2 linked regions of the Tribolium castaneum genome follow. The protein of the gene in region 2 binds, or shares a complex with, the protein of the main gene of each other region. Links are inferred from orthologs where the notes say so. Each region holds a gene or a part of one and is shown on either strand. Other genes may lie near its edges.

Evidence for each region. The genes of interacting proteins can lie anywhere in the genome.
Region 1: the proteins of Cbp80 (region 2) and Ars2 are in contact, whole or in part, in a cryo-EM structure (PDB 8PMP), measured with the Homo sapiens proteins. The link is inferred for Tribolium castaneum from reciprocal best matches to the Homo sapiens genes NCBP1 and SRRT. Residues at the interface, in NP_002477.1 of Homo sapiens: Tyr461, Gln463, Lys511, Lys557, Ser558, Ser560, His561, Ser564, Ala567, Lys568, His570, Lys607, Ile609, Arg610, Thr611, Gln612, Met648, His651, Glu705; in NP_056992.4 of Homo sapiens: Asp857, Pro858, Arg859, Val862, Glu863, Tyr864, Arg865, Asp866, Leu867, Asp868, Ala869, Asp872, Asp874, Phe875, Phe876.

The regions. Positions count from the first base shown.
Region 1 is NC_087394.1:28,905,784-28,909,114, reverse strand, and holds the end of Ars2 (serrate RNA effector molecule homolog), read left to right. Parts: intron 1-402; coding exon 403-1,610; intron 1,611-2,000; coding exon 2,001-2,214; intron 2,215-2,260; coding exon 2,261-2,522; intron 2,523-2,571; coding exon 2,572-2,650; 3' UTR 2,651-2,769; downstream 2,770-3,331. Other genes in the region: pickpocket protein 28, read left to right, coding at 3,147-3,160, 3,211-3,331. UniProt on the Homo sapiens protein: Acts as a mediator between the cap-binding complex (CBC) and the primary microRNAs (miRNAs) processing machinery during cell proliferation.
Region 2 is NC_087397.1:5,581,189-5,584,515, reverse strand, and holds part of Cbp80 (nuclear cap-binding protein subunit 1), read right to left. Parts: coding exon of another isoform or gene 2,360-3,327; intron 2,290-2,359; coding exon of another isoform or gene 2,254-2,289; exon of another isoform or gene 2,140-2,253; intron 824-2,139; coding exon 585-823; intron 537-584; coding exon 1-536. Other genes in the region: mucin-2-like, read left to right, coding at 2,254-2,289, 2,360-3,327. UniProt on the Homo sapiens protein: Component of the cap-binding complex (CBC), which binds cotranscriptionally to the 5'-cap of pre-mRNAs and is involved in various processes such as pre-mRNA splicing, translation regulation, nonsense-mediated mRNA decay, RNA-mediated gene silencing (RNAi) by microRNAs (miRNAs) and mRNA export.

The DNA.
Region 1 (3,331 bases), on a different chromosome or scaffold from region 2:
TCCCATTGTTGGAATAAACCTCTTATGATAATAAACTATTTTGTAATTTTTTTGGTATTTTTCTGCGTTTACTGTACTCTGAAGAAATTAATAATTAAACACCTCTTTTAAATGAATGACTTTCTATAATCTTTTATAAAGACGTCGAAATTTGACTATTTATTTTACTTTGAACATTTTATTTTTGATTGAATTTGTAGCAGTCTGTATTTTTTTTTTTTTTTTTTCATAAGTAAGGGCTTTTCTTTACCTAAAGATGCACAAAATTGGTGCTCAGCTTTGTATTTCGTAAGATTTTACATCTCCAGTATTGGTTTTTTATCTTTACTGTAATTGTCTGAACATTTAGTTGTTAAGGCTAGTAATTCGTGGCAGCATTATTGCATTAAAATGTATCAACAGAATTGGAAGAGAAAAACAAAGAAAAGGGTAAAGAAGAAGTCGTCGAAAAACCAAACGATGACACTCCCAAGAAAGAACAACCTGCGGAAAAGCCAAAGCCTGATGAACCTGAAGCAAAAGAAAACGGCGAAACGACTGCAGAAGACGGTGAAATAGAACAAGAGAAGAAGGAAGAGGAGGAAAAACCAGCTCCTGAAGAAAACAAAGAGCCTGAAAAAATGGAGGTGGTAGAAGAAGAGAAGAAAGAGTCTGAAAACCCCGAGCCGGCGAAAGAAAACGAACCAGAAGAAGGCGAAGAAGTGAAGAAAGAACCTAAAGACAAGAAACGCAAGCGTTCCTATTCGGGAAGCAGCAGCGGCTCGTCGAGTAGCAGCAGCGACAGCGAAGACGAGAAAGAGAAAAAAGAGAAGAAGGAAGAGGAGGACGAAGAAACCGAAAAAGACAAACCGAAAGAAGAAGTCAAAGAGCACATTGAAACCGTCGAAGACGACAAACCGGAAAAACCCAAATCGCTGCACAAAACCACGTCAATTTTTCTGCGTAATTTAGCGCCGACTATTACGAAACAAGAAGTGGAGGCGGTTTGCGGCCGCTATGAGGGTTTTCTGCGCGTGGCTTTGGCCGACCCTCAGCCGGAGCGGCGGTGGTTGAGGCGCGGTTGGGTCACGTTTAAACGAGACGCGAATATTAAGGAGATCTGTTGGAATTTGAATAATATTAGACTGAGGGACTGCGAATTGGGGGCGATCGTTAATCGGGATTTGAGTCGGAGGATTCGGCCTGTTAACGGCATTACGGCCCATAAACAAGTCGTCCGGTCCGATATTCGAATATCGGCGAAAGTTGCGCTGCATCTCGATAATAAAGTTGGGCTTTGGTTGGACGATGAGAAGAAAGATAAGCCCCAACAGACGTTCGGGCTGGTGTCGAATAATCCTGTTCTGCACAATATTACCGACTATCTGATCGAGGAGGCGAGTGCCGAGGAGGAGGAACTTCTGGGGCTGGAGCCAACGGCGGAGACGCAAGATTCGGCCACTACTGTTGAAAGAGACGAACAACTTATTTCAGTCTTGGACCGGATTATTCTGTATTTGCGTGTTGTTCACTCGGTTGATTATTACAATCACTGCGAGTATCCCAATGAGGATGAGATGCCAAATAGGTGCGGGATTCTGCACGCCAGGGGGCCGCCACCTACCACCAAAGTATGATTGCGCTTTGATAACTCTACCCCAGAATAAATGTGTTTGTCACAAAACCACTAATTGAAAATTTTACACGGTTTTTTAATTACCAAAGATAGGAATTAACACTAACTTGCACCAGAATAGATTAATCTGCGGAAGCCCATTTTCAAAAAAATTTAAGTACATTTTTGTTCTGGGGCACAAAAAAGGAAGCTGTTTAAACGAAATCTTGAATTTGTCAACGATTTTTTTTGTACAATTGTTATTATTAGGGATCAGTGTAGAAAATTTATAGTAGCCAGAAATTTTTGCACTCATTGGTCAGTTATTATCGTTTGAACAACTCCTCTTTTAATGCAATCATTCCAAAATTAAGAAAATCCCTTTAATTGTTTTGTTTTTTCATAGACTGATATGACCCAATTTATTGGGGCTCCAGTCGAGGCCAAAATGACTAGTTTTCTTCCCGAAAAACCCCGCGACGAGAACAAAAACGAAACGAAACTAATCAACCTGTCTCTAAAAGACGTTGATACCGAAATTGACAAGTTCGTTCAAGCGAATACAAGAGAGTTGGCCAAGGACAAGTGGTTGTGTCCATTGTCCGGCAAAAAATTCAAGGGTGAGTTGGAAAAAAAACTCGCTTTATTTCTGACTTTGGATCGTAGGTCCTGACTTCGTCCGTAAGCACATCTTCAACAAGCATGCTGAAAAAATTGAAGAGGTGAAGAAGGAAGTCGAATTTTTCAATAACTATTTACGGGACCCTAAAAGACCAATGTTGGCGGAAGCCCCCCAGCCAAAACGTGAGGAACCGCCCTCTTACAACCACCCGTCGTATGGAGGTTCCTATGGTGGGTATGGTAGGTTACCCCCATATTACAATCAAGGGTATTCGCAACGTTCTAGGGGTTATACACCAAGATCAAGGTAAGTTTTACAGAATTTAGATTGCTTTTTTTATTATTCTTTATTAAAGGGGTGGTCCTGGGGATTATAGGCCGGTTATTCACTACCGGGACCTCGATGCTCCAAGGGAGCCAGAAGAGTTTATTTAAATCTTTAATTTATGCTTGTAAGTTAGAGGACTAAGAAAGAATATTTCAAACAACATTTTATTTTGATAATAAGTTTGTAAAGGTACCGTCATTCAATCAATAAACTGTTCGTATTTTTATGGGTTTCTTTCAATTTTTTATTCCCCAAGTCCCTAAACAAGATTTTCTGACGTTTTGAAAAGTATCATTTACGGACCATTTTATAATTTATTATTCACAAGGATATTTGCAGTAACGAGGTAAATATTAAAAAAAATAGTACACGAAAAAATCATTTAAAATCCTGATTTTTGGCACTCAAATTAATTTTTTTAATTATCACTAACAAGGAAAGACGAGTCAGTTTTTACGTTGAAACTAGTAATTATAAATATTTTGCCAAAAGCCTCCGGCAGCAAAAAATTGGCCAAAAACAGAAAGTCATAAGTTCAAGGACTCTATTAAATCATCAAGTTTGCATCCTAGACTTGTTTTAGTAGATAATCTGCATTTTATAATGACGATCATGAGGTAAAAATTACCCTTAGTTAACACTATTGAAAATTTTGACGCTTTTTAAGCATGTGTGGCAGTGAACGGGGTGATCTCGAATTAACCGACAAAGAAAATTGCGGAAAAAATGAAAACGGCAAAAGCAGCTACAATTGCGGTCAAAATCTGCTTAATTACGTTGTGGAATTT
Region 2 (3,327 bases):
TGTTGGAGCCTCCCAATTGTCCACTTGTACCAATGGGTGTTATAGTCGCGCCCATCCGTGTCACACCTGACCAAATGTTCAGACAGTATCATTATAAACCTCTGGAAAATAATCAGGAACAAGTTTTTCTGATCGGCTTGTGCCGCTTCCAACTTCTCTTCCATCCTTTCAACATACTCTTCAGTTGGTTTCTCGTTATCAGATTGCTTCTTCTTCGAATCCTCATCTTCAGACTCACTTTCGCTGCTTTCAGCCCGTGCTAGTTTCTCTCTAGCTTCAGCTAGTTCACCCCCTAGCTTAATCACGTGTCTGTTCATTTTTTTAATAGTCAGATGTAAAATTTCCCACAAGTACATTTTGGTGAATTCGGCCGTCATCTCTTTGGAAAAAATCCAATTAGCGACCGCTGAACACTCGACAATTTGAATTTTCAACATTTTGTCAACTAAAACGACCATCATTTGTTGGTGGTGGTGCCACAATTCGAACATGTTTCGTAAAACGCAAATTTGAGCTTCCTCCGACTCTGCTAAAATCTATCAAAAAAAAAGTGATTTAAGACACAAATGTTCAAGCCTGAGTACCTTAAAAACGTAAAGAAACTTGGAAATCGCTGCAAAACTGTGCGAGAAGCTCTTCGACCCTAAGTTGAGTAGAGTTTGCACAAAAACGTCGATTTTGAGAGGATTAAATCTGCTATCAGTCTCTTCTTCTGAACGGGGGTTTGGGAGGTCCTTAAGCACCCCTAGGACCTCCTCGGGGGTGCACTTCTGACGTATTGACACCACCAATTGATGGGCAGCCGTAGTACCCGGAAGTGACGCTAAAACACGATTTGTTATGCATGACAAAAAATTTCATAATTTTGGTTTCGCCACGACGGAAGCTGGATTTTTTCACAACTCCTCATAATCCTCCGTTCCACTTTAAATAAATGAATTATTCAAAAAAACAATCCGTTTAATACAACAAAATTGTTTTCCGCAAACCGAAACGGAAAAGAAAAATTAATAATAGCGGAAGACCACCGACCAGAAAATCCAATATTGTTGCAAGTAATCATAACGGAAACGTTCGTTTTTTCTCGAACGCATATAATCGTATCCCTTTCTTACGCAAGCTGCAATGTATAGCTATTTTCTCGTGTTAATTGGTCAAATTCACGCACGTTTTACTTTCGGACTTTTTCCTTTAAATTACAAGAATCACTTCATACCGTGACCATTATGTCAAATTTGCTCATTGTGATGATTGTTTCAAACAATTGTAATCTTCATCGTGTAACATGCACTTTCGTTATTGTTTTTCGTTTCGAAATCTCCAAGCGTAAAGATGCGACTTTGCGATATCGCCGCTGACTTAAAATCGGTTCTTTTCAGAGCAATTAAGTTCAAGGTGAAACTGAAGATTCGTGAGCAAAATTACGAATTAAAAGAAAAAAATAAGAACGATCGTAAACATCTCTGGTTTCATAACGCGGAGATTAAATCAAAGGTAATGAATTTGTGCAATAAAAATGAAAATATTCTACCTCAAGTACTGAATTTTACGCAAATAGGGTCTTAGGTAACACCACAAGGTTTCAATTAGCCACGCTTTTCGGTGAAAATAAAATTTCTCTATTTTCCTTCGAGTAACATAAAGAAAAAAAATGTTTTTGCAGAAATTAAATCAACAAAAATCCACCATCAAAGAAGAAGGTAAAAAATAAATTAAATTAAAAGTGCGAGTCCATTATTTATCGTAATGAAAATGCAATTATCAAGATGTTGCGACAATACAAATTCATCATAGAATTGCCAATAAAACCTTGCTAATAAATTTTTAATTAAAAAATCTCACTTCGGACAATACTTTTTCCGAAGGTTTAATTTTAACAAACCCATCACTCTTAATAAAAATTTCAAAACTTCATTGTTAATGAGAGTCATTTTAGTTAATTACTGTCGTGCCAAATTAACTTGTCCGAAAATAATAATTCGGGTTTTTTCTTAAAACCCCGAGATAATTATCTTGGCATGTGTCTAAATTAAGTAATATAATATGCACATTGCACACACAAGAAAAAAATAATTAATATTCATCAGTGCGCAGAAAAGTAGACAATGTATTAGCAATTATGTCGAAAGCTTCTAGGATCATCGGTGGGGTACTCTTCAATCTCTCTAAGTAAAAAGATTTAGTTGTAAGAAACCGAGCGAACTAGTGACATGTGCAGCTTTCAAACATTTGCAAACACCCAGTGGGTCTAAAATGGGACACTTCGAAATAATCTTCATTTTACTCTTGGTAATTTTACCACGACTAACAATCCCATTCAAGTCCAAGGTTATTAAAAAATGAAAACTCTCATTTTCAGACTCTCCAACTATGGGAAACTGTATCAATCACTCGACCCGTGCGAAACTTTCATCCTCCCACCGACTGGGAATTGGGGCTGCGTGAGTCCGTGCATCAGGCCCTCCTCCGGGAACACTACACCGACCCGGGGCTCCGCGACCGCCTCCTGGCAGCCCCTTTTATCAACCGACAGGACGACGCAAGTCCTTTCGGAGACATCGCCGTTCTGGCACGAGGACAACTCTACATAACCCCTGAAGGTTTCAAATTTGTTCAAGACGTGGACTGTGATTGTCAAAGATGCCTCACGTCGCCCCAATGCCAGTGGAAAACCTTCGGTCACCATAAACTACTCGCACTGTGGACGGTGAAGCGGATAAGACATCGGGACCCCCATTATGGGCACGTGTACGAAATCGAGTACACGATTTCGCCCATCACGCACACCATCAGCGAGGATTTGGTCAAAAGACATGGGTTTTTTAACTATAACGTCCCGGGACACATTTTCGTGATTAAGAGCGATCCGGGTGTGAACACAGTTGGACAAAAAGAGTGGTTCAAGAAAGAGGAAGATCATGGACACTACAAACCCGGAATTTTAATACAAATGACCCCGGATGGGTACAAACACGTGTTGCACAGTTTTCCCGGATTTTTCACTTCATACCACGACCAAACAACAATCGATCCAAAAGAATACGAACTGTACAAAAAATTGATCGAGTCATTGGCGGCGAAAACATCAAGTGGGCCTCACCGATTCTCAGTTACGACTCCTACGACTACGACTTTTGTCGTAAGTGAAGGACAATTAATCCCGATTACGACTTTACCGACCCAAAGTTATACAAAGTCGCCGAAACCCATCACAACCATTCATTATTACACTCCGGTTGAGACAACAACGGAAAAACAAGACGAGAGTTTTGATATTTTTTCGGAGGCGTTACGCACAACTACTACGAAAAAAATTACGACAAGTGA